Mus musculus: one gene and its partner. The protein of the gene in region 1 interacts with the protein of each later gene in a biochemical or structural test. Links are inferred from orthologs where the notes say so. Each region holds a gene or a part of one and is shown in the gene's direction. Other genes may lie near its edges. The genes, in order: Nufip2 and Fmr1.

What was found.
Region 2: the proteins of Nufip2 (region 1) and Fmr1 form a complex in vitro, tested with the Homo sapiens proteins (2 studies listed by BioGRID and IntAct, with this or other methods). The link is inferred for Mus musculus from reciprocal best matches to the Homo sapiens genes NUFIP2 and FMR1.

The regions. Positions count from the first base shown.
Region 1 is NC_000077.6:77,679,627-77,696,111, forward strand, and holds the start of Nufip2 (nuclear fragile X mental retardation-interacting protein 2), read left to right. Parts: upstream 1-6,512; 5' UTR 6,513-6,601; coding exon 6,602-6,881; intron 6,882-6,929; exon of another isoform or gene 6,930-8,185; intron 8,186-8,660; exon of another isoform or gene 8,661-8,705; intron 8,706-11,915; coding exon 11,916-13,628; intron 13,629-16,485. UniProt on the Homo sapiens protein: Binds RNA.
Region 2 is NC_000086.7:68,697,380-68,713,238, forward strand, and holds part of Fmr1 (synaptic functional regulator FMR1), read left to right. Parts: intron 1-288; coding exon 289-382; intron 383-468; coding exon 469-585; intron 586-2,680; coding exon 2,681-2,851; intron 2,852-2,962; coding exon 2,963-3,041; intron 3,042-6,283; coding exon 6,284-6,393; intron 6,394-7,869; coding exon 7,870-8,001; intron 8,002-8,481; coding exon 8,482-8,544; intron 8,545-10,662; coding exon 10,663-10,749; intron 10,750-13,204; coding exon 13,205-13,400; intron 13,401-14,116; exon of another isoform or gene 14,117-14,851; coding exon 14,852-15,034; intron 15,035-15,859.

The DNA.
Region 1 (16,485 bases):
TATACGCTATACAGAGAAACCCTGTCTCAAAAAACAAAAAACAACAAAACAAAACAAAAAAACAACAAAAATAAAAGGCTTGGTTGTGGAGGCCCACACCTTCCTCCTTGAAGTCAGGAGGAAGGGCAGATGGGTCTCTAAGTTCAAGGCCAGCTTGATCTACAGAGCAAGTTCCAGAACAGCCAAGGTGACTCAGAAAAAGCCTGTTTCAAAACAAAAACAAACAAACAAACAAACAGAATGAATGCATGAATAAAACTGAAGCAGTCTTCAGTGAGGTTGTGGCACACAGCTTTAATTTCAGCAGAGGGTAGCAGATCTCTGAGTTCAAGGCCAGTTTGGTCTACAGAGTGAGTTCCAAGACAGCCAAGGATACACAGAGAAACCCTGTCTCAAAAAAATCCATCAACCAACCAACTAACCAACCAATCACACAACAGAGCAGTTTGAGCAAGCCAAGATGAGGAGCAAGCTTGCAAGCAGCACCTTCCAGGGCCTCTGCAACAGCTCCAGCCTCCTGGTTCCTGCCTCTGCTTCTCTCAGTGGAACGTGATTCAGGATATGTAAACCCTTTCCTTCTTAAGCTGCTTTTGTTCACAGTATATCATCACAACAATAGTAACTCTAACTAAGACAACCACACTTCCTTTTACTCGGTTCCACTTCCTAAAGAGTCAAAGGCCAATCAATGGTACCACATGCTGACAACCAGCTTTAAACACACAAAAGCCTGGGAGACAAAGTTAGTTCCAAACTGAGCACAGATATTCAAAACCAGTTTGGATAAAATAGGAAGAAGACCCTTCCTTGAGGCAGGGGTTGAGGTGGTAGTGGTAGTGGCTGTGGTGGAATACAGACCACAACATATAAAATACATCATTTTGTAGCATCAATATTTAAAACAGTATCATTTACTGACATTAGAAGTATTTGTTAGTGGGGGCTGGGAAGATGGCTCAGCCGTTAAGAGTACTGGCTGCTCTTCTAGAGGCCCAGTGCCCACATGTCCTTAACTCCTGTTCCCAGGGAATCTGACACCCTCACACAGACATACATGTAGTCAAAAAAACCAATTTACATAAAATAGAAGTAAATTATTTTTAAAAAGTATTTGTTAGCAACTTTATTTAAACCTACCTCATTAAAACCCATGAATTAGGTTTTCGGATGAAAAATTTTAGAGGGGCTTAGTAATCGGCCCAAACAAGGGAAAAGTGGAACAGAAAAGAATTCCATCTCAGTTCTGATATAAAATTTATCTATGTCTATATCAGGGATGCAGAGTTGCAGGAACTAGCCAGACATAGTAGCACAGGCCTTTAATCCCAGCACTCAGGAGGCAGAGGCCAGCCTGGTCTACAAAGTGAGTTCCAGGACATCCAGGACTATACAGAGAAACCCTGTCTCAAAAAAAACAAACAAACAAACAAAATTGCAATGGTACCCAACATAAAAGCATAAAGGCACATGTAAAATAAGGTGTTTGAGTAGTGATTTTCATTTGATAATTGTAGTCTTGCAACCCTGCTTAATCTCCCAAACTGTACAAAGAGAAACAGCAAAATTCCAAAAAAGCACATAATTGCTGGTAAAGAGAAAATGTTCACTAATTAGCCAAGTGTGATGAGCCCTGCCTGGAATACCTGCACTTAGAGGGTGGAGACAAGGAATAATGCATTCAAGGACAACCTTGGCTACACAGTGGGCTTCAGGCTACTGGGACTGGTCTCCAATAAAAAAATCTAAACATGCTGACTGTGGTGACCTTTAATCCCAGCAGTCAGGAGGCAGAGGCAGGTAAAGTTCTGTGAGTTTCAGGCCATCTGTGGTTACAATAATGAGACCCTATTTCACAATAACAACACCCCCTGGCACACCAAAAAAAAAAAAAAAAAAAAAAAAAAAAAAGCAACAAATAGAAGCTGTTCAATAAGTATTTTTGGTTTTTTAATTTAATTTTTTAAAAAAGATTTATTTATTATTACATCTAAGTACACTGTAGCTGTCTTCAGACACACCAGAAGAGGGCATCAGATCTCATTATGGATGGTTGTGAGCCACCATGTGGTTGCTGGGATTTGAACTCAGGACCTTTGGAAAGGCAGTCAGTGCTCTTAATCTCTGAGCCATCTCTCCAGCCCCAATAAGTATTTTCAAATGTAACAGTTAAACAGATTTTGTTTTTATTTTTCAGCTTCCCTTCGCATTACTTTTTTATATGCAGTCATGCCCTATAGATAAAAATTGTGACTTTGATTTTGTTGTTGTGCAGGTTTTCTATTGTTTCGTTTTAGATTTATTTACTTATTTTATGTATATGAGTACACTGTCACTGTCTTCAGACACATCAGAAGACAGTTTTGGATCCCATTACAGGTGGTTGTGAGCCACCATGTGGTTGCTGGGAATTGAACTCAGTACCTCTGGAAGAGCAGTCAGTGTTCCTAACCAGTGAGCCATCTTTCCAGTCCATTTTTTTTTTTTCTTTAATTTTTTAAGACAGGGTTTCTCTGTGTAGCCCTGGCTGTCCTGGAACTCAGTGTGTAGACCAGGCTGGCCTGTTTTTGTTTTTTTGCTTTCATATTTTTTCCCCATCCTTTGGGACAGGGTCTCACTCTGTAGCCTTGGCTGGCCTGTAACTCATTATGTAACCCAGGCTGTCCTCAACGTTGTACTCATCATCTTGTCTCAGCCTTCATAGTGCTGGGATGAAGACCATAAAAGGCCATGTAGGACCTGAGGTTATACTGCTAAGTCAAATCTCAAAATGTTAGTAACATTTTAATAGGGAAGGATTCAGGTTTAAGATGGCTCTCATTAAGAAAAAAAAAAAATATTCTGGGCCTGGAGAGATGGATCAGTGGTTGAGAGAATGGTTTCTTGTAAAGTGCCAGGGATTCTATTCCTGCATCCACCTAGTAGTTCACAAAAATCTATAACTCCAGTTCTAAAGTATCTGATCATTTCCTATGGTCTCTGAGGCACCAGACACACATGTGGTACCCAGACATGCACACAAAACACCCATAAGACACACATTTTTTAAAAAGATTATTTGTTTGTTTGTTTATTTTATATGAGTACACCACAGCTGTCTTGAGACACACACCAGAAGAGGGCATTGGATCCTATCACAGATGATTGTAAGCCACCATGTGGTTGCTGGGAATTGAACTCAGGACCTCTGGAAGAGCAGTCAGTCCTCTTAACTGCTGAGCCATCTCTCCAACCCCACTATTTTTATAAAAAGAAAAAATATTTATATTATATCTTCAAATATTACATACTGAAAAATATCACCCTACAGTAGTGGCGCATTCCTTTGAAGGCAGAGGCAGGCTGATTTCTGAGCTCAAGGCCAGGCTGGTCTACATAGTGAGTTCCAGGATATCTAGAGCTACACAGAGAAACCCTGTCTCAACAAACAAAAAGCCAAAAACCACTCCTCTACTCCCCAACAAAAAGGAAGGAAGGAAGGAAGGAAGGAAGGAAGGAAGGAAGGAAGGAAGGAAGAAAGAAAGAAAGAAAGAAAGAAAGAAAGAAAGAAAGAAAGAAAGAAAGAAAGGCAGAAAGAAGAGAAAGGAAGAGAGAAAAGGGAAGAAAAAAACAGATACTAGCTACCACGTGGTTGCTGGAAATTGAACTCAGGACCTCTGAAAGAGCAGTCAGTGCTCTCAGCCACTGAGCCATTTCTCCAGCCCTGATGGCTCAGTATTTAAGAGCACTGTCTGCTCTGGTAGATGATCTGAGTTTAGTTCTCAATAAGAGTAGATCACAGCTATCAATAACTCTAGTTCTAGGGTATCCTACTTGTCTGGTCTCTAAGGGCACTGCACACACACACACACACACACACACACACACACACAGAGTCAAAGAACACTTGTTTAATTTAATGAGTCTTATTAGGCAGCCCTGGCTAGCCTTACCTCAGCTACATAGACTAGGCTGGCCACAAACTCATCGACAACTGCCATCTCTACTTTTCCAGTCACACTGTAAAAGCTATAAAATACATACCTATTATCAAATAAATTCATAACAAAAAATGTTGTATATATACCTTCCCAAAGCATACTTACTCACCATGAAATATTTAGTCATAAAAAAAGGAAAGACCTTTTTATTCATGTAACGTAATATGAATACATCTTAAAGACATTATGGTAGCACACACTTGAAATACCAACATGTGGGAGGTAGAAGGATCGAAAGTTCAAGCTCATCCTTGACTGAAAGTGAGTTGGATGTTAGTCTATGCTATAAGAGACTCTGACAAAACAAAACAAAACAAAACAAAAAACCAAAACAATAAATGCTAAGCAAACAGAAATGAATAATTAAAACAGGGCTGAAGAGATGACTCAGTGGCTGAGACTTCTTGTTGCTCTTGCAGAAGACTCAAGTTTAGTTCCCAGCCCCACACAGTGATCCTAACCATTCTTTTTGTTTGTTTGTTTGTCTTTGCTTTTTGAGGCAGGGTTTCTCTGTGTAGCCCTGGCTGTCCTGGAACTCACTCTGTAGACCAGGCTGGCCTCCAACTCAGAAATCAGCCTGCCTCTGCCTCCCGAGTACTGGGATCACAACCATTCTTAATGCCACATGTAAGGGACCTGACAAAGCTCTTCTGACTTTAGCAGGCACCAGGCATACACATGGTGAACATATACACATGGGGATAAAAAAAAAAATCACACATACAAAATACACCTAATTATGTGTACCACGTGTGTGTCTGGTGCCCTTGGACTTCAGAAGGGAAGTTGGGCCCCCAGAACTAGAGCTATGGATGATCATGCTGCTGCTGTGTGAGTGCTCAGCATTGAACTCTGGTCCTTTGCAAGAGCAGAAAACGCTGCTTTTAACAGCTGACCTATTCCTCCAGCCTTAAGGGCTTTATCATTGAAAAGGTATGGGGTTTCAAGAGATATAGGTTCTAGTGCCTGCAATGACAGTATTTGTGAGGGGGACTGAAACAATTTGAAGCTAGCCTGGGCTACATAGTGAATAACAGGCCAGTCAGAGATACAGAGGAAGATCAAAAACAAACAAACAAACAAACAAACAAAGACAAAACAACAAAACAAATACAAAGTAAGATGGTAAACTTTACATTTAAATTTTCCCTTGGGGGGAGGGCAGTGATGGTGGGGCATGCCTTTAATCCCAGCACTTGGAAGGCAGAGGCCAGCCTGGTCTACAGGAGTGAGTTCCAGGACAGCCAGGGCTGTACCAAAAAAAAAAAAAATCCCTTATAATACATAGACAAATGTATATCTAATTTAATGAATTTTAAAGCAATTATTCATGTAATAGCAATAGCACATTGGCTGGGGTATGCTGGTGTGTGTAGGACTTTAATCCCAGCATTCATGAGGCAGAAACAGGGGGAATCTCTTAGTTGGCCAGACACTTCTACTTAGGTAGTTCCAAGCCAATCAGGTTTACATAGTCTGTTTCAAAAACAAACCAGTCCAAAACAAACAAAACTCCTAGCCAAGTCCCCCAAATATATATTTCGAGGGTACCCCGTGTCTGTGCTTATCACAACCTTCTTCCTATCATAACAGGTTAAATTAACAGCATAAATTGCAAATACACCTTTACATTTCAATGTTTTCCTTAAATTTAATACAAAAATGTTTTAAAAACCCAAACCTTAAGAACTTTTAAAGGGTTCCTTTCTCCTTTATTTCACTTTTGAAAGTCTTAGTCTAAAATCTATTTTGGTTCCATAGTTGACCTCACCTGCAGTGTTTGATTAAAAAAACAACAAAAACACCCAAAAAACTTCAGTGTAGATTTTTTTCATTCCTCCCTCTCTCTTGCTTTCAACTACAAAGAAACAATGATTTAAGCCCTTTGTCCCCTTTTAGAAAATTACACAGATACCCTATTGTGGAACCCTATAATCCCTCCGTGGAAAGGAAGAGATTAGCATATGAATACAAAGCAAAATGAATCCAGAATACGAAAACGATCTATCGAGTTGTGAAGCTCTTGTATTCTTAAAAATGTATTTATTTCCTCTTTTTTGAATTGCCCCCTTCGTGGTTTAAGGGTTAAGGAAATTGAGCTTTCCTCTCTGGCTACCCGGAAAAGAATTAAACACACACACACACACACACACACACACACACTCACAACCCAACACATTCTAGGAGGTGCAAAACCAACAGATGGCTCCTAGCGCCAGTAGAATCGTCAGTGGAATCTGCTACACTCGACATCAGCTTGCTCGGTGTGAGGAGTGTAGAAAGTGCTGTTCGCTAACTGCGTGGTGAAGGAGAGAAAGCGATAGAAGAGAGAGCCATAATGCTGACGTTGAAGGCCCGGCCCTGTGAGGTTGCATAGGGTAAGTGGCGTTGGCCAGGCGGCGGTGGCGAAGGGGAAGGGAAGAGGATTTGAGCTAGGGGCGGGGCTTGACGCGCAGCGTGGCTCCTCATTGCTGGAGCACGGCTGCCAATCTCGCAGATCCTCTCGCTTAACCAGTGCGCTGGCGAGACGCGCTCAGATATACCGAGCGAGCGCGGAGAAGCAGTCTCAGATCCTGACGGTGCAGCAGCCCGCAGCCTCAGCCAGGGAGTCCCAGCCGCTTTCAATGGAGGAGAAGCCCGGCCAGCCACAGCCTCAGCACCATCACAGCCACCACCATCCGCACCATCATCCCCAGCAGCAGCAGCAGCAGCAGTCGCACCACCACCACCATTATTATTTCTACAACCACAGCCACAACCACCACCACCACCACCATCACCAGCAGCCTCACCAATACCTGCAGCATGGAGCCGAGGGCAGCCCCAAGGCCCAGCCCAAGCCGCTGAAACATGAGCAGAAACACACCCTCCAGCAGCACCAGGAAACGCCGAAGAAGAAAACAGGTCTGAGAGGGAGGGCGGTGGGGGAAGGGGGACTGGATTGGAGGGGGGGGAAGCGATGGGGGTGGGGCTAGATGGGAAAAGCGCGGACCCGGTCCGGGTGTGCGTCCCGCCGGGCCGGGGATGCCCCCTTCCATTCTTCCCGGGCGCGGGCCGGGCCGCGAGGTGGGGATTGCAGCGCCCTCTCCTTCCCTTTAGCATGGGAGAGGCCCAGCCAGGCCGGCGTGACCTTCCTCGGTCCCCGCCCCGGCCGGCCGGAGGCAGAGCTGTGCCCTCGGCCTTGGAAGTCCAGCCTTCATCTTCTTTTTCCCCTCTAGTGCGGGCCCTGGAGTTGCCTGAATGTGGGGGCCCCTAAGAAGGGGGTGAAACTCAGCCGCCCTAAAAAAATAAAATAAAAAATTCCCCCGAGGTGTATGTAATTCAGGCCTAGTGAATCCATCCTGATGCGGGTGGTGTCGCGAGAGCCGCTTGCAGGCGGCGACGAGCGGGGCTGAGGGCTAAGTTGAGGAAGCGTCCTCGCTCACCCGCCGCCCCGAGCCCACCTGTGGCCTTGGGGTTTGCCGTCTGGGTGTGTGGGGGACCCTATCGTCCCTCGGGTCATTTCCACCCCTAAACGCCCGTCTTGCGCGTCCGGACCCCGTTGTCTGTCCGCGAGGGCTTCTCCGCAGGCCGGCGCCCCTGGCCCGCTCGCCTCGGAGCCGGCGAGGCTGGAATGTTCTCTCCTCCTCGCGGGGCCGCTTCCTGTCCGCCATGTTGGAAGCTGATTCCTGTCACCGACTCCGGCCGGCGGAGGAGCGGAGGGGGAAGGGTGCCGAAGGCCACACGGCACGCCGGCCCGGCTGCCCCGGGACCCTCTGCGGCCCTTTTCCGGGTCCCCCCCGCACTGCGGGCGGCCGCCGCCCGCCGCCCCTCCCCCTCCGCGCCGCGCCGCGCCGGGGTTGTGTAACCCGGTGGCGGCCGCGCGGCCCCGGGCGGGTCCCTGGGGTGAGGGGCGGGGGCGGTTGGGGTGGGGGAGGGAAGCGGCCACGAGGGGAGCGGCCTGCACCGTGGCCCCGCGCGCCCGACGGCCGCGTTTCCCGCTCCCGGGTGCGGCGGGAGGCGCGGGCGGGGAGCGGGCCTTGAAGAGGAGCTTGAAGGGGGAAGGAGGCCCGGGCGGCGGCCGTGGCCGTAGCGTTCCGCTGGCCTGCGAGGGGCGAGGGGGATTCGTTTTGGGGAGAGGCGGTGCCTGAGGCCGGGTGGGGTACCCAGCGGGAACCAAGCTCCCGGGTCACGAGTTTCTCTGCCACAGGAATCTCATCTCCTGCCAGGTTCGCTCACGACTCCGCCTCGGAGGCTTTTTCACTTAGGCCTTTTTTCTTTATAGCAGCGCATTTCCTACCCAAAAAAAAAAAAAAAAAATGGGGGGGGGTTGGGGAACAACCTCTCAAACTTTGTTCCATTCGTTTTCCACCGAACACCTAAACTTCTGAGCTGGGTAGTGACTTTGTGGGAGGGATTAATCCGATGCTCTAATGGGTGGGACAACACGGGCAGTTTTGGCTTTCCTGTTTCTTTAACTATGAACTGGAAGTGACTTGTCCATGTGGTTGTCACCAGCCCTTTACCTTGGACAAGACCTTTTTGGTGGTTAAGAGGCGTTTTGGTGCATTTTAAAACCGACTTCCATCCCCTAACTGAGTATTATTTAACATTAAATGTGGAGCCTTGAGCTACTTAAAATAAGCATCAAAGTTTATATATTCACACGTTTTGTTTTGTTTTGTTTTGTTTTTAACTGAAAAGGGAATGAAGAAAGAAGTGTTAAACTTAGTCTTTCAAGTAATACAAGTAAGTTACTGGTGAAAAACTTACTGTAGACAATATAACTTTGAAGGCAGAGCTGAGTGGATATCAGATTTTCTTTTGTAGGGTAGTAGGGACTGATGATAGAGCAGAAGTGTTTAATTGTAAGGATTTACAGCAGCCTAGAAACTTAGGAATTATGTAACTGTATTAGTTTTGCTTTTCATGAGGTGAGAAAGTATCAAGGTTGCCCAGTGGTATTGTTCACAGATTCAGAATTTGTCTTTTATGAGGTTTATGTATTCCCCACAGGGCTCCTCACTGCATAGAAAGGCAGACCCTGAACCATTCATTGAAGGTGGCCCTCCTCACAATGTGTCTTAACCTGGGATGAAGAATGAGGAGGGAACTGGGTTTAGGAAATTTAGAGGTTATTAACAGTTGGGCTCAGCGGCTTTCCCGTATGTGGTTTGGTCGTTGGGTACTGTGCTAAAAAATCTAGAAAATGCTAGGGAAATACTTAACAAGTTTTTATGAACCATTACTTCCAAAGCTATGAGAAACTGGTTTTCTGGATCCAGAAGAGGGCACAGGAGACAAAACATGTTGAGTAATTGCAGTGTCAAATCTAAAAGCTAGATTTATTTGGGACTCAAGTTTTGCTGAGTCCATTTGAAGTGGAGTTCTCATGGCACCCTAAATAATAAAGACACAGGGATTCTTTAATTGCTTTCTGTAATAACTACCATCTTCACATTTTTCTTAAATATCTAAGCTTTAAAAGGTACTTATCATACTTAGTGCATGTCAAGGCCATAGGGAGACAAATATGTAGTTAAGTGAATTTTTGTTTGTTTGTTTGTTTGTTTTCTTAATTTTCAGAGACAGGGCTTCTGTATAGCCCTGGCTGTCCTGGAACTCACTCTGTAGACCAGGCTGGCCTCGAACTCAGAAATCCACCTGCTTCTGCCTCACCTAAGTGCTGGGATTAAAGGCATGTGCCACCACACCCGGCTTGCCCACCTTTTAATATATATATATGTATGTATATATATATATATATATATATATATATATACACATATATATATATATAATTATGATTAATGAGCCAGAAGATACAGGTATTGCTTAACTTATAGTAGATGGTAAAGTAGTTCTTTCCTTGGTTGCCTTTGGTCCAGGCAAATCTATTGATTTGGGTCTCCCTGCCCCTAATTTTTGTTTTTGTTTGAGACAAAATTTCAGGGATACATATCTAGACTTGGCTTAACATTTTGCATTTTTTAAAAGAAAATGTTATAGAAAACAAAACCACATACTATTTTTGTCAGTTTTTAGAAAAATGGTAATGTAATGCTGGGAATATGGAATTAATTTTTTCCTAACTACTAAGGGTTGAGAATTGAACTTGATACATGGCAGTATGTTTGTTTCTGATGCAGGGCAGTGGCTGCACACATCTTTAATTCCAGTATTGGGAGGCAGAGGCAGGCAAAACTCAGTGAGTTCCAGGGTGGCTAGGGGTACACAGAAATCCTATGTCAAACAAACAAAAAATATTGTCTATAGTTGGTTTTTGTGCAACTGTGTTCTTTTCTGGAAGTTCATACAGAAGAAAAGTATTTGTTGTTTGATTATTGTTAGAATTGAGGGTTTCCCAAAGGTCTTTTGAGGTCATAAAACAATTGATAAAACTAATTGCTATTTTATTAGTGAGTAGAAAGCTGTGATTTAACCAGTAAATCACTTTTTAAAAAAGATTTATTTATTTATTCTATGTAAGAACACTGTAGTTGTCTTCTGACAACTCCAAAAGAGGGAGTCAGATCTCATTACAGATGGTTGTGAGCCACCATGTGTTTTCTGGGATTTGAACTCAGGACTTTTGGAAGAGCAGTCAGTGCTCTTAACCGCTGAGCCATCTCTCCAGCCCCCCAGTAAATCACTTCTAATAAGAGATAATTAATTGTAAGCTGATCAGTGGTGGCACACGCCTTTAATCCCAGCACTTGGGAGGCAGAAGCAGGAGGATCTCTGAGCTCAGTGATTTTGCATTCCAGCACAGTCAGGGCTACACAGAAAAACATGATTTTCTTAAAAACAAAACAAAACAAATGTTAGTTGTAAAAAGAAGTCTATGTTCAAGTACTTGACTGCTTTAGGATACTAAATTCATTTCATTGTAGTTTTGTGAGCATGAAAGTGTTGGAAGCAGGTAGGAAATTATGTGTCCTAGACAGATTCCTAGTTCTGTTACTCTGTGACCTGGATGTTAACATTTTCTCTCCTGGTGCTTTAACAACCAAGTAGAAGCTAAAAGTAAGAGAATGAGTCTTTTTTTTTTTTTTTTTTTTCCCCAAGACAGGGTTTCTCTGTGTAGCCCTGGCTGTCCTGGAACTCACTCTGTAGCCCAGGCTGGCTTTGAACTCAGAAATCCACCTGCTTCTGACTCCCAAGTGCTGGGATTAAAGGCGTGCATAAAGAGGCCTGGCTGAGAATGAGTCTTAAGGGTTACTACATATTTTTGTTTCATGTTTTATGGTATGCTGGGTTTTTTGTTTGTTTGTTTGTTTTTAAGGTTTCTGTATTATATGTAAGTACACTGTAGCTATCTTTAGTCATCCCAGAAGAGGAAAAGTCCACAGGTCTTATGGCTTTGTCTGAAATTCATTGGCAACTAGTCACTTTTAGCCCTCAGTATACTCTTTGGGGGTACAGGGAGGTTCAGTACTAGGGATTGAGTTCAGTGGTCATACAAGGGAGACAAAGGCCACAGCCTTATTTTTATTTTCCTTTTACAGGTTATTGTATCTGAAGTAGCACTGATTCTAAATAGTGTGTGAGACAGGGTTCCACCCTGTAGCTCAGGAAGGCTTCAATCATGCAATAATCATCTTGCTTCAGTTTTTCTAGCAGACTCATTGATATAATTCATAAGGTTTATTCTGTTTAGATAATTTAGAGGAGATTATGGCATGCTGCTTGAAAGGTCCTGATCTTTCTAGTTAATTCTGGCTACTGGCCCAGAAGATGGACCTGATATGAGTTGTGTCCTAGGTCTGCCTCTGCCTAGACATTGAACCCTGTATCATAATCTGTAAAAGTTTCTTTACATAAAGTTTCTTTACATAAAGATAAGATACAACAAACCCTACAATACAGCTTAGTATTGGGTTCAGTAAAGTTGTTTGGTCTTAGTACTACTGTGATTTAAATGTATGTGTTTTGTTTGTTTTTGTTTTCCTTCTATAGGCTATGGTGAAATAAACGGTAATGCTGGAGAAAGAGAAATATCTTTAAAGAGCCTCAGTTCTGATGAAGCTACCAACCCTATTTCCAGGGTCCTTAATGGCAACCAGCAAGTTGTAGAAACAAGCCTGAAGCAGACTGTAAAGACCAGCACCTTTGGAAAAGCAGGAATCAAAACCAAGAATTTTATTCAGAAAAACAGTATGGACAAAAAGAATGGGAAGTCTTATGAAAACAAATCTGGAGAGACCCAGGCTGTAGATAAGACCGATACCATAGCAATTCCAAATGGTGTTATAACAAGTAGTTCAGGCTATATTACTAATGGTTATATGAGCAAAGGAGCAGATAATGATGGTAGTGGATCTGAGAGTGGATATACCACTCCTAAAAAAAGGAAAGCTAGGCGCAATAGTGCCAAGGGTTGTGAAAACCTTAATTTAGTGCAGGACAAAATAATGCAAGAGACTAGTGTCCCAGCATTAAAACAGGGACTTGAAACTTTAAAGCCTGACTATAGTGAACAAAAGGGAATGCGAGTAGATGGTTCAAAGCCTATTTGGAAATATGAAACTGGACCTGGAGGAACAAGTCGTGGAAAACCTGCTATGGGTGACGTGCTTCGTAAAAGCTCTGATATTAAACCTGGTTTGAGTAGCAAAAAATTTGATGATCGGCCTAAAGGAAAGCATGCCTCAGCTGCTGCCTCCAAAGAGGACTCATGGACCTTGTTTAAGCCACCCCCAGTTTTTCCAGTGGACAATAGCAGTGCAAAAATAGTTCCTAAAATAAGTTATGCAAGCAAAGTTAAGGAAAACCTCAACAAAACTGTACAGAACTCCTCCGTGTCACCATCTTCATCTTCATCATCATCATCTACTGGGGAAACTCAGACCCAGTCTTCAAGTCGGTTATCCCAGGTCCCGATGTCAGCTCTGAAATCTGTTACTTCTGCCAGTTTTTCTAATGGGCCTGTTTTAGCAGGAACTGATGGAAGTGTGTACCCATCTGGGGGTCAGCCACTGCTAACGACTGCTGCTAATACTTTAACACCCATCTCTACTGGGACTGATTCTGTTCTTCAGGACATGAGTCTGGCTTCAGCAGCCGTTGAACAAATTAAATCTAGCCTTTTTATCTACCCTTCAAATATGCAAACAGTGCTGTTAAGTGCACAAGTAGATCTGCCCTCTCAGACAGATCAGCAAAACCTGGGGGATATCTTCCAGAATCAATGGGGTTTATCATTTATAAATGAGCCCAGTGCTGGCCCAGAGACTGTTATTGGAAAGTCATCAGATCATAAAGTGATGGAAGTGACATTTCAAGGAGAATATCCTGCCACTTTGGTTTCACAGGGTGCTGAAATAATTCCCTCAGGAACTGAGCATCCTGTGTTTCCCAAGGCTTATGAGCTGGAAAAACGGACTAGTCCTCAAGTTCTGGGTCACATTCTAAAACCTGGGACTACTGAGAGTGGAGCCTTATCCTTGGACCCCAGTCATATAGGTGACCTGCAAAAAGCAGACACCAGTAGTCAAGGTGCTTTAGTGTTTCTCTCAAAGGACTACGAAATAGAAAATCAAAATCCCCTGGCCTCTCCTACGAACACTTTGTTAGGCTCCGCCAAAGAACAGAGATACCAGAGAGGCCTAGAAAGGAATGATAGCTGGGGTTCTTTTGACCTGAGGGCTGCTATTGTATATCACACTAAAGGTAACTCATTTGTTTTTTTTCTAAGATTCCAATGGGCTGATTGTGTGTGTGTGTGTGTGTGTGTGTGTGTGTGTGTGTGTACATGTATATTTGATATTCTATATTATGAATGACTGGGTAAGAATTAGTATCAATTAATTGTTAATTGATTTGAAATTTTTGAAAATTTATTAAAGTTTAGAGGACTGTAGTTTTCCAACGTAAAATCATCAATAAAGGCACAGTTGATCACATAATTAGATAGAGGTTTCATGTCCCTTAAAGGATAGCCTTTTTTTGTATTGGGTCTCAGGTTTTTTTTTTTTTTTTTCTTTCTTTTTTTTAAGTGATAGAGTCAAAGTTTTAAATTACCCAAATGGGCTTTAAATCCTGATCCTCTACATACTAGTTGCTGCTGGGATTGCCTGTGTATGCCACCAAATTTGGCCTCCCTCTCTTGCTTCTCAAAGTGTATATATTATTTTATTAGCAAAACAATTCATGGTTTTAGTTGCTTATAATGAATTGGGCAATGTTTTTGAGAGTTAGAAAAGATAAGTATCAAACTTTTTTCCCTTAAAAAAGTGCCAAGTGGTTTATTAAAGTAATTTAAGCAAATAGTGACAGGCACATGGATTTTTAGCCTTTTTTTGGGCGGGGGGGAGTTAGAGACAGGGTTTCTCTGTATAGCCCTGGCTGTCCTGGAACTCACTTTGTAGACCAGGCTCGAACTCAGAAATCCACCTGCCTCTGCATCCCGAGTGCTGGGATTAAAGGCCTGCTACCACGCCTGGCTTTAATCAGCCTTGTAAAGACCAGGTTTTTGGTTTTGGTTTTTTTTGAGTCTTCTATAGTAGCAAAGTCATGTAAAGGAACCAGTGCTAGACTTGGTGGAATGTGTTTGTTCCAGTTATTTGGAAAGTCTAAAGAAAGATAGTTGCTTCATCATTCATAAATAAGAAGGGACCAGATACACTTCAAGTTTCAGGCTAATGACTGAATATAACTGTTATGTTAGGAATTTGCTGTGGTGGTACCTTTAAATCTTTGTTCCCTAGCCACTTAATAAATGCCAAGCAGGGAACTAAGAACTTCCTTAAAATGTATCCATAAAATGTATTTTCTGACACAGGGCAATGGTAGTGCAATCCTAGCAGCATTTGGGAAGCAGAGGCAGGAGGATTTCTGAGTTGAGGACAGCCTGGTCTGCAGAGCAAGCTGTAGAATAGCTAGGGCTACACAGAGAAACCCTGTCTTGAAAAAACCCAAAACAAACTACAAACTCAACAGCCTCCACCTAGAAACCCTAACCCTACCAACAGAGCTGATAGAGATGGCTTTCAGTAGGCAAAGGCACCACCAGCTTCTAAGCCTTATGACCTGATTTCCAATTCCTGACTCCCACAAGTGATCCTCTGACCTCCACACTTAAGTCATGGTAGATCCCTTACCTGGAAAATTAAAGAAAAATTGCTGAATAGCATAACTTTCCTTTTTTTGGAGACAGGATTTTTTTTGTCTAGCCCTGGCTATGCTGGAACTGTTTTTGTAGACCAGAGACCCACCTGCCTCTGCCTCCAGAATGCTGAGATTGAAGGTGTCGGGTCCTCCATCACACCAAGAGAAAACAGTAGTTTTTATTTGCATCCTTTCATCTCTTTTTTTACTCTTTTGGGTATAAACAAACATCTAGTACATACTGCAGGTGGTAATTTGTTTTTAGAGACAATATATATATATTCCTGGCTATCCTGGAACTAGCAATGTAGATTAGGCTGGCCTTGAACTCAAATACCTGCCTGTCTCTGCCTTCTGAGTGCTAATATTAAAGGTGTATGCTGCTTTTTAATAAAATACTGGTTCATTTTGGTAGTGAGTTTTTTAATCTGTAGGAAAAAGGAGCCCATCATATTGAAGGGATGAAGAACTACATTTTTTCTAGAAGAATAACTGACTTATTTAGTTAGTTTTTTGAGACAGGGTTTTTCTGTGTAGCCCTGGCTGTCCTGGAACCCACTCTGTAGACCAGGCTCATGACCAGGCAGGCTCAAACTCAGAAATCTGCCTGCCACTGCCTCCTGAGTGCTGGGATTAAAGGCATGAGCCCACCACTGCCTGACTAAGAAGATGAATTTGTGTTTTGAACTTTTTAGTCTGCTTTTCTGTTTGCACCACACCAGTCCCTGTAAATTTTAGAAGAGTGTGTCAGATCTTCTGGATCTGTGGTTACAGATGTCTGTGAGCCACCATGAAGGTACTGGGAACCAAATTGGGAAGAACACAAGTATACTTAACTACTAGCCTTATTTCCAGCCCAGGTTTTTTTTTCCTATCAAAGAATTTTTATATGTATGTATTGTCTGTCTGATTGTCTGTGTTGGTGTACACGAGCTTTTGGGCGCTAACAGGATATTGGGTCCTCTGGAGGAGGAGTTATAGGCAGTTGTGAACTGTTCAGTGTAGGTTCTGGGAATCTAATTTGGGGTCCACTGCAAGTGCAGGAGGTGCTCCTAAAGGCTGAGCCATCTCACAGCCTTTTATAAAGTGAAATACTGTGACAGTATTTTCACATCACTCCTCCCTTTTCAAACTTACTGCTGTGTCCCCAAAATCACAACTTTTTTTTTTTTTTTTTGATTTTTCGAGACAGGGTTTCTCTGTGTAGTCCTGTCTGTCCTGGAACTCACTCTGTAGACCAGGCTGGCCTCGAGATCAGAAATCCGCCTGCCTCTGCCTCCCCAGTGCTGGGATTAAAGTCGTGTGCCACTACCCACCCCCCCACCCCCCCCCCCCCGCTAAAGCACAACTTCTTTATTTTTACCCATATAGCCTTACACGCACATAAGAATACATAATGCTTAAATCTTAAATGTTTGTT
Region 2 (15,859 bases), on another chromosome or scaffold:
CTAAAAGGGCACAGGAGATGGGGGTCATATAGATGCAGTGCTCAAGAATAAAATTTTCCAAAAAAATAAAATATGTTTTAATTAGCTGCTTTTTTACCCTTTATTGTGTCAAATGTTTGCTTTATTTCACAGGTGTACAGTAAAAGTACATAACTTGTAAATAGAACTAGCATTTACATAAAAGAAATTTAGTATAAATCCTTGGTTTTTAGTATAATTTTATCTGCATATATTTGTGCTAGTGATTGGTGATCATTCATGTTAATGATGAATATGTTTTATTTCTAGGTGTGCCAAAGAATCAGCACATAAGGATTTTAAAAAGGCAGTTGGTGCCTTCTCTGTAACTTATGATCCAGAAAATTATCAGCTGGTAATTTTGGTGAGTGTTTTTTAATTGTCTAGTTTGGTTTATTTCCTCTGGGGCATTTGCTTTGGTAACAATATTGTTAACTTTAAATCACTCAGTCCATCAATGAAGTCACCTCAAAGCGAGCCCACATGTTGATTGACATGCACTTTCGAAGTCTGCGCACCAAGTTGTCTCTTATACTGAGAAATGAAGAAGCCAGTAAACAACTGGAGGTATGTTCCTTTCCCTAGCACTGTTGGTAAGGCTGTCCAGAAATAACTACTGTATGGTTCTCAAATTCAAGTATGGACAGCTTGTTTTATTATTTCCTATTTCCTCTAGTTTGGAAATTTAAATTGTACAAAATATAAGCATACTAAAATTTTCATGCCTGAAATTACACAACAGTCATATATTTTAAGGAAATTTTAGACATTTCATTTTTACCAAAAGTTTGTCAAAGCTGCTATAAAGTGAGACAATGCTTCTTCTATGTAACATGTTATCATTAAAGTACTAGAGAATATTTAAATATCTAATCTTATTCCTTTCATTATGTATGTTTATCTCTGTTTAAAAGGGTATAGAACTTCTTCATTCTAATTGGTTGTCACTCTTTAAAACTCCTGTCTTCAGATTCCTGCCAGAGGCTATTTCCCTAACTTACTATTTCGTCTCTTAAGGTGCATTTTATCTACTTTTATTAATTCTCCAATAATTGCCATCACCATGCATTTATTTTCATTGATAACTATCTAGTACTTCCATTCATTACCATAGAAACTAAATGGAGTTTGTTTTAATGTACCAACTCAAGTAGATTACTGTCAATTTAAAGAGTCTCCCTCATCATTATTCATTTCGTTAGGGAGAATCATCAGTTGATATAGCAAAAGAAAAGGGGAGTTTCAAATTGTAGTTTAAGAAAAAAGGTAGTCAAGGCTATGAAAATTGCCAATTACCAACTTTGTGTATGAATGATGAACTCTTAACAGAAAAGGAAAAATTTACTTTTGTTTGCCAAATGGCTGTTGAGGTCTGTTTGATTAGTTTTTTTTCTCTCATTCTTTATTGATGTCCCCCATGTTCACACTTTTGTGGTTTAGCGATTTTCTCATAACTTTTAGGCCACAGCAGCCTTCTTAATTTCATTGTGAGTATTATGAACGTGTACTCATATATCTCTTCTTAAGCATCTAATTCTTCTTGAATGTTCTTTACCATACCTTTGGTTTACATGTATCCATAAATTATCAATGGGAAAAATGAACCAGGGTAATCACGATCCAAAAACGTGACTTCTTGGAAAATCTTCGAAGATTTTATATACTTTACTACCATTACCTTTGAAAACAACTATTGTTCTTTTAAAATTGCTTACATTAGATATATTTATTCATTCAAATTATCTGGTGTGTTGAATAATGATAAACTATGTGCATGCCTATTTTCTTCACTACTAATATTAAAGAGGTTCATAAACCCTTTTAAGAAATACCCATTTTCAACATGAGCCACTAATCTGTTTGGTTTTCATTAATGGCATGCTAGAACTAAACATTCAGTTTTGATATGCTTTTTAAAGACAGTGATTATCCACATAATATGGGGTATCATTGGAACATAGTTTTGTCATTGCTGAATATTTTAAAGAGTTCATCAAGCTTTTGTGGATTCAGATCACAAAGTCTAACAGACTCTGAATATAAAAGTAATATAAAATTGATATTTCTGTATTCTACGAGTGTTCACTTTACTGTTAAACCACAGAGTTTTAGGGATTTTTTTCCCTGGGTTTGAGGAGAGAGGGTGTTGTCTTAATGTCACATTTCAGCTGAAGGATGTTTAGATCCACCATACCTGGTTATATATTATGAAAATGGCACCATTTCTAGAAAAAGTACTTATATATCCATAATAAGTGCAGTGAATATTTTTTTATTAAAGATACCATTTTTAATTGTTGCTTAAATTGAATTGAGTCTGTCAGACCTAGTGAGCTGTTCTTAATTGGGAATATTTTGTCTGCTTCTTAATTATTACATTGTGGATATCATTGAATAACAAAGGCAGCCTTGCAAATAGGTTTGCAAACATAACCTTGAAAAACTGTCAATAAACTTTTTCCTGTTAACAAAAAAAATGTTTTAAATGGCATAGACCTTCATTAGCCTCAAAAGAACTTGTGTGATTCTAAAATTAGTTTTTCTACTATGATAATTTATAGGACCCTGATATATAGGGTCAAGATAATTTACATGGCTGACCTAAATGAAATTGTCTTAATAATTGATAAAACATGTTAATCAGTTGTGCATTTCTCTTCAGAGTTCAAGGCAGCTTGCCTCAAGATTTCATGAACAGTTTATCGTACGAGAAGATCTGATGGGTTTAGCTATTGGTACTCATGGTGCTAATATTCAGCAAGCTAGAAAAGTGCCTGGCGTCACTGCTATTGATTTAGATGAGGATACCTGCACATTTCATATTTATGGAGAGGTAAATATTTCACCATATAATCCAACTTCCCCCTCATAGAAACAAACAAATAGTATTTCAAATGCCAAATCTTTTGCTTTGATATTACACCCACTCAACCTTCTTTATTAGGATCAAGATGCAGTGAAAAAGGCTAGAAGCTTTCTGGAATTTGCTGAAGATGTCATACAGGTTCCACGAAACTTAGTAGGTAAGTAAAAAATAACTTTATATATACCACAAAAAATAAAATCCTAGTACACAACTTCTATACTAGTTAAACCTCGTTTCATCACTGAAAGTGTAATCTGATTAAGTCAATCTTTGAGATGTAGCCTGTTCTTACAGTGTATAGAAAATAATACTCAAAGATTATATTTTCAGAAGATATACAAGAAATAGTTCAGACTTATATGTCTGAAAGGATAATTTTTACCTAGCCTCCTCAAGGTATTTTTTTAATCATAGCATTAGATTTTTTTCTAAAATGACTAAAAATTTAAGCTTTTATAGTTTGGTGATATTTGAGAAAATGATAGCATTCATGTCAGTTATCTCTGGGTTCAAAATCTGGATATGTCTAGCATAGACATAGTTTGAAAGATAAATTCACACCAACTGTCTTTGGATTTTATGGAGTCAGTAGTAGCTCCTTATAAATTGATAAATACTGTTTCCTAATCATCACTGTGATGGCTGTTAGCATAGGAACTTTTCACTAGTATTCCCAAATTATTCAGTTGTCTTTAGTAGAACAAACTAAAACCAGGTATGGGTTTATTTTTTAAAATGTGTTTTGAGCTGGGCATGGTGGCGCACACCTTTAATCCCAGCACTTGGGAGGCAGAGGAAGGCGAATTTTTGAGTTCAAGGCTAGCCTGGTCTACAGAATGAGTTCTAAGAAAACCAGGGCTACACAGAGAAACCCTGTCTAAAAAAAAAAAAAAATGTGGTTTGAATTTATAAATAAATTTGGGGCATATTGCTTCTTAATCCTCTTGTAGAAGTATAAAGTGAACAAACTTCCTGTGTAGTTTATGTATATAGCTTAAAACATTCATAGGCTACATTTTGTCAAAATAGAATAGTAATCATCTTACAGTGTCATTTAAAATTACTAGCAATAGCCCAGCATTCAGGAGACAGGCACAAAGATCACAAATTTAAGGATAGTATGGGGTAGGGATAGCAAGATCCTGACTCCAAAATAGTGTCCAAGAGTCATGGTATTTTTTACCATTAATTAAAAAAAAACTTGAAGGTAAAGAACAAATGCTAATGAAATTAGTTTACATGTATGCTGCAACACAAGAATGTGAATGTAGTGTTACCAACACACATACCAGTTGTATAGAAGATACATGCATAGCACAGGATGAACTAATGATTATGATAGAACCATGGTATCCATTAAATTTTGATAGTGCTATAGTAGGTGAAAATATTTACACATATTTGATACCATTGTGACTTTGGGTGACTGACTTAGCTCTTGAGAGAATGCTTTTCCTTCACTTAACATGATATCAACGTGGTATTCAAGGTCTAGATGCTTAATGAGGTGTTGTTATGTGTAGTACTTAGCACAGTTCTGGGTACAGAAGGAAACTCCATGTTCTCTTTTGTTTATTCATAACTTCTTCATTTCATTACAGCAGATTTATAGTAAATTCTGTTGGAATTTGGAAGTAACTGCAATATACAAGTAAACTAGATTCAATTAGATTACCAAAGAAGAAAGAGATTATACCTATAGTCTTGCATTAGGTGTAGAGGATGTTTAAAGTTGGTTTGCACCAAAAAAAAACCTATTGCAGAATTGAGTTTTCTTTACGTTTATACTTAGTAAAACAAGAGAATTCTGGTTTGATGAGGAATGCTGCAACACTAGGAATACTGGGCTTCTTCAGAAATCAGTTTTTGTTAGTTCGGTTTGCTGGGCAGGTTTCAGGGTGACGTCTTAATCACTATTACTTGAGTCTCATCTACTGATTGATTACCTATTTTTCACAAGCCTTCTTCAGTATGCACACCAATTTATCTTGCCTAAAAGTTTGTGTGTTCTATCTAAACTTTGACAGTGAGTTTGTTTAGACGAAGTACTTAGTTATTTCTTAATAGAAACATGCTAAAGTCCTACTTTTCTTTATGCTAATTTGCATCTTTATTAAAATCAACTTTCATGGTTATGTAAGGATTTTACAGAAAAAAAAAAAAAAACAAACTCTGAGAATACTCCAGGTAGGGATTTTTGTACGTTCTTCATTTCATTTGAAGAAGAATAGAACAGACATAATGAGATTTTTAGATTAGAAATCCTGGTTTAGTGGCATGAGTTTTGTTTTCTACCACTGACCAAAGAGCTCAAGGTGGAAGAGTATGAAAGCCACACACAGCAATAATGTCAAAACTGTGGCTCTGATTATAAGAACTATGAGTCCTTCTGCAAGACCTTTTGCTAGTTTGTTATTTAAAGTAGCTAGGAAGCAACTTCTCTCTTTTCATCAATTTGCCTGCGCTGAGGAGGCAAAATGAGCATATAGAAGCATTTCACCCATGGCTTATCTAAGTGCTTAAGTCCCCCTAGAATCTGGTTTGCCTCATGTGTAGGTTTCTAGAATTAGTAGTGCTTAATTTGTAAATTCTTGCTTTACACTCATGTATGATAGTGGCTATGAAAGCAGCCATGTCCTAGTTTTATATATAATTGAATTTTGCACAGTGGGGCAAACAATTGCTATTTAGAACTACTACTAGATTTTTCTGAATTTCAACAGATGTTACTAAAGAATACGTATAAGCCTTTTCATGGTAGTTTTGGAGTTATCTGAAAGTGTGCTTTACCTATGAATATGTATGCTACTCTACATTGTGACCAATGCATAGAACTAATATTCTGTTATTAACATTGGCTTGAAGAATTTTTGTTCCTTTTAGATATTTAGATAGCTTTCTAAGCTCCTGAAACTTAAGAGCATATTTTCAAATGTGTCATACATAATTCTAAAAATAGTTCCTATGTATATATGAGGAAATGTGAATCAAAGCTAGATGAGAATTGAAATTGTCAAGTAAGCAAATACATTTATTATCCTTCTTTTCCTTAATTCCTTTTGTAGAGCTTTACAGAGTGCTAAATACCACAGTACCAGTTAGTTTAAAGTATACGGTCTTATGTGAGATAAGGGGTTCTCTTTGAGTTACCTTTAAATTTTCAGAATTACCCAATCAGTTCACAAGTATTAATCAGCTGTAGTATCTGACCAAATGAGTTTAAAAATGACCTAATCAACGAGAATAATTTATAATTAAACTATTTTTTTAAAAAGCTTCTGTTTTGAATCTTATAATCCAGTATGTATATGTATTTGAATGTGTAAGATAGTTTATAGTGGAGTGTGCTTGTACGATTTGAGTGATGTCCTCGAGTCAAACATGAATTATTTATTTTAGGCAAAGTAATAGGAAAAAATGGAAAGCTGATTCAAGAGATCGTGGACAAGTCAGGAGTTGTGAGGGTGAGGATTGAGGCTGAAAATGAGAAAAGTGTCCCACAAGAAGAGGTATGTAATAGTGCTTATTTTTCTGGTTTTGTCTAAGAGAAAGAGTTTTGTTTGTCTTGTTTTATTTTTTTAATGTATTAATACAGAGGCTCCTGTATTACATGCATATAATATTTTTTTTCTTTTTGTGGTACTCAGAATCAAATCCAGGACTTTGATAATTGTTCTGACTATTGGACATGCTTAATACTATAGATACTAGACTATCTGTTTTGGTTTGGCTTGGTTTTTGTTTTTTGAAGACAGAATTCCTCAGTGTAGCCTTGGCTATCCTGAAACTCACTCTTAGACCAGGCTGACCTTGAACTCAGAGTTCTGCCTGCCTCTGCTTTACAAGTTCTGGGACTAAAAGTGTGCACCACCACCCAGTGACTATGTTTTCTAATGCTGGACTTTAGATAAGTAAATTTATCCTGTATTTGTCTTCATTTTGTGATCTTATAATGGGTAGTCATGAGTTTGCTATTATAAGGTGTATATCACTGGTTCAGCCATTAATGAATGACAAAAAGCGTGCATAGACAGCCTTTATAAATGCTTTTGATTGAGTGTTAATGTGGTAAAGTAAGTTCATTCTGTGTGTGCTTTTTCTGCACATGATCACTTCCCCCAACATGACTTTGATAACTCTCAGTCCTATCTACCTGGACATATGCTTATTGGTGTAACCTTGTAAGTATTTGTATGGAAAGTGGAAAGGGACAGTATAACCCTTGATGCAGTTGTACTCTCAAAATGCTGTCCACGCACAAGCTTATAATTTTCACATTAATTAGCTGTCTTTTGTGAAAGATTATTTTAATTGATGTTAAATCAATTTAGTGTTTTTTTTAAGGTTTAATTCAATAAAGTTTGTGTGTGTGAGTGTTTGGAGGGGTTGGGAGAAGAGCTCAGTTGTGAGCTGCTAAGAACCAAACTTGGTTCCACTGTAAGAACAGTACATGCTCTTAACCTCTACAAAAAGCCATCTCTCTCTAATCCCTGATTTGGTTTTTAATTGCATAATTTTTATGCTCTATGGGAGCTGGTGAGATGGTTCAGTGGTTAAGAGTGCCGACTGCTCTTCTAAAGGTCCTGAATTCAAAATCCCAGCAACCACATGGTGGCTCACAACCATCCGTAACAGAATCTGATGCCCTCTTCTGGAGTGTCTGAAGACAGCTATAGTGTACTTATACATAATTAATAAATAAATAGTGTACTTATACATAATTAATAAATAAACAAACAAACCTTTTAAAAAAATTTATGCCCTGTAATTTTATATGTCAAAACACTTTATAGTAATCTATAGTCTTAACCATCATTGTTAATGGGAAAAGATGAACTTCAAACATTGTTCCTAATATGTTGAATTATCAGATTTCTTTATAAATAATTAAGTGGATATGCTTAACAAAAAATATCACTGACATGGTAATAGAACCAAGTTCTCATAAAATTGGAATTTTTTGTGTTTTATGTTTTTTTATCAAGGAAATTATGCCACCAAGTTCCCTACCTTCCAATAATTCAAGGGTTGGACCTAACTCCTCTGAAGAAAAGAAACATTTAGATACAAAGGAAAACACCCATTTTTCTCAACCTAACAGTACAAAAGTCCAGAGGGTAAGAATTTGTCACCTCTAACCACACTAAAAGTAATTTCTTTGACGCAGATTCCACATTTGGTATTTGGGCTGTTTTTTCTCGTTAGATTTGTAGGCTACTCTTACTCTATATTTTCACATAGGTTTGGTACCATATGAGATTACAAAACAAAGTAATACATATTTTTTCAATTTATTCACAGTGACAAATCTTAAGCTATAAACCTAATGGGGTCACTTTTTTTCTGTTGAGGGTGGACTTTTTTTTTTTTCATACTATAACTCCTTAAATTTTGCAGGTGTTGTAACTCAAAGTGTACCTTCTATTAGATGTGTTAGTTACTTCTTAAAGCCATATTTTAGAAACTGATTTTCACTATTTGAACTGACCTATTTAGAAATGCATTTAGAAGTCCTGCAGTGAAAGTCCTGCGTTCAGGCTTCTGTGTATCGTTCATTATAGTTAATCACATCACTTGCATTCCTTATACTGCTTTAGGTGTTAGTGGTTTCATCAATTGTAGCAGGGGGACCCCAGAAACCTGAACCCAAGGCTTGGCAGGTAGGAAACTATTCCTTGAAAAATACATTTTAAGTTGATATTTTAATGTTTATTCCCCTTGTTAAGAAAGACTACAAATGAGCCTCATGGTTGGGGGCTGGTGGAGGAGTATTTGTGGGTATTTGGATCCACAGCCCTAGGCTAAATCTCAAACATCTTCATTCCACTTAGAAGTTCTTCCCTTACATGTCCAGTGTCATTTTCTACCAGTCTTCCCACTGTGTCTTATAGGAAGCTTGATTCCTTCTGAAGTTCTTGGAATTCTCTAAAATTGAACATACTTTTTGCTGCTGCTTTATGTGTGGGTTTATTCTACCCAGACTGTTCTTTTTCCTGTATTTGCCTTATCACTTTGACCCTGTTGTATGTGAAGCTTTCCTTGTGTACTTACCACAGGTTTCCTACCTGTTCCATCTTCCTGTGTGCTCACCCAGAGCATGTTTTTAGATGTTTTCTTGTTGGTCTCTTCAACCACATTGTAAGCTCCTTGATGTCAGGGTCCTTTGCCTGGTATATGAGAATTGCTTATAATAAGGATGGTATAACTCAGAAAAGACTAAAAGCAAAAATGCCATTTTATACCAAGAACTAAAACTGCAAGTGAATTGGACACTCCTTTCTGTTGGACATCCCTTTCTCATCTTAGAAAAGAGAATCACTTTGTCCTAATATTGGTATTCTATATTTTCAATTTATTCAGATCTTCTGATTAGACATTTGAGTTGTCCTTGGGTACTCTAACAGTTTGTACCATGTTATAAGAGAAAATTGGTTTAAATAATGTTCTTCAAATTCTACCTAATTAAATCTACAGCACAAAATTAAAAGCTTATTTTGGTGATTACTTGGAAAGCATGTATTATTTCGTGACTTGATATTTGGCACTTGGAAAAAGTACAATTAATGCCTTTGTGATTATGCTATTGAGAAAAGGAATAATATTGAAGGAGGGCACTTTTTATATTGTAGTACAAAAAAGAAAATCTTTACAAGTTCTTTTCATCCCCTGATAGTTCAGATAGTCACTGCTACTAGGAAGCTGTGCCTTGCCTACTATATGATAATCAGCTTACAAGCAATACTTTCTGATGGTTCAGTTTTATTGTTCATCAACAGTAGCATTCTTTACAAGGATATAGAAAATCCTGTGTCCTTCCCTTCCTTTCTTGAACCTACTGTATACTGAATATAAACAGGGAAAGCATCCCAACAATAGCTACATGTTCTAAGAAACGTTCTTTAGGAAAGAGTGACACTTTGCTCGAGGGACAGATTCTTGGCCTCCTGCATTTTTGCCAAACACTTGTAACTGTAATACTTATTACTTATTAGTATTACAGTATTAGTGTGTGAGTACCAATAATCATGTATTTCTTCAGTAGCAAAATGATTGAACTATTCTCAGCTTAGAATGTGTCTTATTTATCCCCTCTTTAAGCTAGACTTTCCTACTGGTTATTATATTGAATGGTTTGGGGTTTTTTTTCTTCTCTTATGCTGATGAGAAATATAAATATTTAGATTATATCTTTAAAACAATCCCTATATTAAAATGCTATACATAGAAGATCAAAGTATTTCTTATGATTGAACTTTGTAAGATTATACTATATTTTTGAAATTTTATGGACTTATTAAATATTATGCTTATAATTTTGCCTTGGTTTTTGTTCTTCTACAAACTACTCAGTGTATTTTAATTTAAATTCTCATTTTTGTTCATGATTTGGATTTTGTTGATTTGGTTGGCAAAATTGAGGTTTTTAAATTTGTATCATTGGTATCTGATTTTAAATTGAATTTGATTTAGGTAGAACTTACAGTGAGTGAATTAAAGCATAACTATTCATCTTGCTTACCACAGTAAAGATTGTATAATTCTTAGTTAAATGTTTGTTATTTTGTCAACATTAAACAGTAGTCTTTAAAACAATGTGATGTCTAAGAAATCACTATATTGATCTGCCCTTGGTTTTACATATTGATTTATATTTTAAATAGATGTTTGTGTGTTCGCCAGACCTTGTACTAGGGATTTAGTCATTAGGTGTTTTTGTTTTTGTTTTCAGATGAACCATCACTAGTTCTTTAGGTTCACTGTTACAATTTCTTTTTCAGGGTATGGTACCATTTGTTTTTGTGGGAACAAAAGACAGCATCGCTAATGCCACTGTTCTTTTGGATTATCACCTGAACTATTTAAAGGTGAGGACAGGATGACTTTTAACTTCTAATCTTCTTGTGCTGAATTATTAAAAACTGTATAGTAAATCCTTCCAAAACTAGGATCCTTCTAAGCTGTGCATAACAGTATATGACCTTGTAAAAATAATAGATAAAATACATTGTTTCAGTTTATTTCTTCTAAAAACTTAATTTTTCATTGTAAATCTTACGGCTAATATCCCAGTTCTCAATACATTCATATATACATATATATGTACATGTATATATATGTATATATATGTGTGTGTGTATGTATATATATTTATTTATTTATATATAGTTATTCTGCTAAACCCTTAGATTCAATTTAGGTAATGATGTTATATATACATATATATGTGTGTATATATATGCATATATATATATATTTGAACCTTCTAGCTTTTATGGATGTTTTCTGATCCAAATTTTGTGTGTACTTGCCTTTGTTGTCCCTCCTATGTTATTTATTAAGGAAATTCTAGCATTTCATGAAGTCCTCTTTAAATATTTACTCTTCATACTTTTCTCTATATTGTGTTAATCAAAATATAAACTACTTGTGCTTTCTTGTATATGCTCATCTTACTGATTTTACTGTTATGCTTCCTTAGCTTGCAAGCTGGGAAGTAGGAACCCAGAGGCTATTATATTAGTAAAAATAGCATGGGATTGGCAATACATCTGTGAAGTAGCTATGTGTACTTTTTCAATTTCCCTTTGGCCCAAATATAAAATTTAATGAAATGAAATCTTAATTGTTTTTAGTGTTATAATGTCTTATTTGTTAAAATATATGCCAGAATTATTCTATAGGTCTTTTTTTAAAGTCTACAAAATAATCTAAGTTCTATTTTATTTATGATACTAACTTAAGAATGTGTTTGCTGACTTAAAGAATAAAATGTGAATCAGTCTTCTAGTAAGTAAGAGTGAAAGGAAAAAAAACGGTGCAGTACCTGGTCATTTTGTTCATTCTTAATGGTGGTCAGTTAATAAATAAAAGTGGGAAGGTTTCATCCAGCAAGGTTTGCATGGGTAGGATGCCACTTTGATTTGCTTATTTATTTTTTGTTGGACAGTGTTTTATGTGCAATCTGTTGTATGTTTTCCTTTATAATCTTCACTAGAAATAATTATTGTGACCTAGATAGACAGAGCTGCATTATATCATGTCCCTTGTTCTTTCAATTAATGCTTTTTCTTAGATATTTTATTTTTCTCTATTGAATATTTTGTCTGTTACTGGCAGCTGTTCTGTTGCCATTCTTATCATCACCAAATCATCTTTTGGTTGGGTCTAGCATCTCACCAAAACTAAGTACAATACCTAAGTGCAATAACTGGAATACCATTCTCTTATGCAATTTCTAGATAACACATTCCATTAGCTAGAAATATACCTTTGCAGGAAGCCACTAGTCTTTCCTTTTTCCTACCCAGTTTATCACAGATTCTGGTTTAGAGAGCAAGTTCTCTGTGGATTCTCAGTCTGACCGTTTTTCACCCCCCACCCCATGTCAGAACCAAAATTTGACAACTTTGTTTCAATGACCTCTTCTTGATTGACACACTGAATATTTGCTGTAGTTACAGATCTTATGCCCTGTAGCTAATAAGTGAGATGCTCATGGATATGCTAGAAAGGCAAGGATTAACGTGAAAGTTTCATCTGGATTCGACAGATCCCATGTTTTTGTACATGCTATGTATAAGGGTCTATCAGTGGATTCTGGAGTTGATATATTTTGTTCAACTCAATGTATATTGTTTGTAATACTTGTTTAAGCAGAGTTTTAGCATTTTAAAAGTTTTTCAAGGCATGATGTGAGAACTAGGTGTTTTGATGTGAGACCTAGGGATTTCCTCCCCTTCATATAAAGGAATATTAGCATGTTTAGTTCATTGAAAATAAGTGATCCGTAATTATATCTAAAAATACTACATGCTCTTTAAAAAATATACCCCAAGTACAATACTTAGTAAATTAGAATATTAACTGACAAAATAATTTCATTGAGCTCATTTATGTGTGATTTTTAAAGGTTAGTTGATTAAATCTTAAATGTCTGTCATTTATCTGTATTTTTATACTTTTTAGTATTGTTTTAGTCAATCTTATTTCAAAAAGTCCCCAAACTAATGTATCTCTGCCTTATCCATAGACTAATTGAATAGCAGTGCCAAATCACTCAAATTTATTCAATATAACTTTAAAACTGAGTGTTTTTGTTATATTTCTAAGTCTTGACATCAGTAAGTGTATCAATAGTAATCTTTCTTTTTAAGGAGACCATTCAATTTCCTAATAATTCTGGGTTAACAGTGTTTACTATAAATTTAGAACTGAAGTCGAAATATTTCCAGTATACTTTTTTATCTGATGAAAAGGAGAAAGGTAATACTAAGTAAAATGTCAAATTATTTTTACTGTTATCTTGTATATTTTAAATAGGAAGTAGACCAGTTGCGTTTGGAGAGATTACAAATTGATGAGCAGTTGCGACAAATTGGAGCTAGTTCTAGACCACCACCAAATCGTACAGATAAGGAAAAAGGCTATGTGACTGATGATGGTCAAGGAATGGGTCGAGGTAGTAGACCTTACAGAAATAGGGGGCACGGCAGACGCGGTCCTGGATATACTTCAGGTACAAACTAAGCATTTTCCTCAGTTACTTTATCTGTTCCTAGACTTAATAGCTGCTAATCTCTAATATTCATTAGAACTCCATTATAACAATTTCTCACTACATGTTTTCCAACTCACAGTGGGTCAAATTGTGTTTCAAGAGACATGTAGAATAAAAGCCCGTTAATGACACACATAGTTCACAGGGCAGTTGTGAGTTCTGTCCATATTCTAATTGGGGATAAATCTGCTTAAGCCCTTATGTGTTGATGACCTAAGACCTCTCCTGATTTTATTACTGTATAGCCAAAACTTTTTTCATTTGTGTACTGTGGCTCATTTTTTGTCAGGCATGTGCTGGTCATACTTGCTGGATGGACTGTGTAAATCAGGGGTCTGCATCCTATGGCTCATAAGATGATTTTGAGTGGCATGGCCAAAGTCAGCCATAGGCACAGTCAAGAAGTAGGGGAAGTGACTCTTTGCCTTCCCAGCTTTTCTATCCTTGCTGCTTCTTTCTTTTCTCCCAGTAACTTTCAGTGACACCAGTGCCCAGCTACGAGTTCCTACTGTCTTTCTTGCTCGACTATGTATCTATGTAACTTGCTAATGATGGTATAAGGTGTAATCCATCTCACAAATATTTGCATTTCAAAAGGGAACTCTTTAAGATGGAAAAGCCTTCAAGATCCACAGGAGTGACGCTATAATGGTGAAGCTATAATTGCTCATTAGCTCCAACAGAGGAAGAGAGAGAGGTAGTAGAGGTGATATTCCAGAGTGGGGAAAGACACCTACTCATAAGGCCAATCTTGAACCTAACCCTTAACCCTCCTCCTATCAGTTTGTTCTTTTGACCAATGAATTTCCATCTCACTGTGGAGCTCTTCCCCCCACTCCCATTCCCTATATCATTAACCCCCTCAGATGTAAACAGTTGTTTTATAGTGATCTTTTGTTTAGCCCTTCCCACTGGGAGTGGGAGGGAGATTGTGGGGCATGCATCAGGAATGCATATCCCCTTTCATTGGGGATAATCCCACAGTAGCCCCTCCCCTGAGACACAACAATCATGGTGGCCTTTATTGGCTGCTTTTAGAGTTGGCCAAATTGTACATCCTTCTGTCCCTGTGTCTACTAAAAGCTCTCATTATAGAAGTTTTGCTTATCAAAGTATTACATTGTTATAGACAATTTTTCCTCTATTGATCACAGCTATTTAAAAATATGGCACATTCAGATCTGAACTTAGACAGCTAACAAAACACCTTTTTAAAAGATGTCTAACAAAAATTACTTCAAATATGGCAAGCCTTTTACTTTGAATTTAAAACACAGATAAGTATATTCTTTGGTAGGCTTCTAAATTGGGAAGAATATTGAATCACCCCTGAAACTTCATCTCTGGAAGCTTCTGTTAACCTTTTTTTTAAAGTCAGACAATGGTATATAACTTTTAACTCTCGATAGGAACTAATTCTGAAGCATCAAATGCTTCTGAAACAGAATCTGACCACAGAGACGAACTCAGTGATTGGTCATTAGCTCCAACAGAGGAAGAGAGGGAGAGCTTCCTGCGCAGAGGAGACGGACGGCGGCGTGGAGGAGGAGGAAGAGGACAAGGAGGAAGAGGAAGAGGAGGAGGCTTCAAAGGTATAGCTGAGAAGAAAAGGTTAAGGCCAGTGAGATGGCTCAATGGATAAAGGTACTAACTGCCAGTCTTAACCCTAGTTCAATCTCCAGGACCCACATGGTAAAAGGAGTGAAGTGACTCCTGCTACTTATCTCTTAGCCTATACATCAACTATGGTATATGTGCCTCTACAAAGATATATAAGTGGTTTTTTGTTTGTTTGTTTTTGTGGGTTGTTGTTTTGTTTTTTTGTTTTTTTGTTTTTTTTTGAGACAGGGTTTCTCTGTGTAGCCCTGGCTGTCCTGTTACTTTGTAGACCAGGCTGGCCTTGAACTCAGCAATCCGCCTGTCTCTGCCTCCAAGTGCTGGGATTAAAGGCGTGCACCACCACTGCCCAGCTGTAAGTGTTTTTAAAGAGAGAAAGAAAGATTAAAAGTAAACTGTTAGCTGTTTGAAGCTGAGTAAAGAATCTTGGTGATATAGTCTGTTTTGGGCTTATCATCATCATAGCAAATGATTACTTTTTCATTTGTTTGACAGAATATTACACAGCCTTCCTTGTGATTTTTTGGAAACTATGACTAAATAGTGATAACTAATTTATATTCTTCGTAGTTCCTTACCAGCATCTGGTTGTTAATCCAGACAGATTGACCTGTTGAATCAACCTTCAGAATATTTTGTTTCTTGTTACCAGAATAGATTATTTACTTGTACAATTGGAATTGGTAGGCTCTTCATTACATTTTAGCTTCTATTGTTGGTCTGAATGGGGAATCTGAAAAGAGAGAATTTTGAGCAAATGTTTTAAGAGTCACTAACTGTTAAACATTTTTAAAATATAC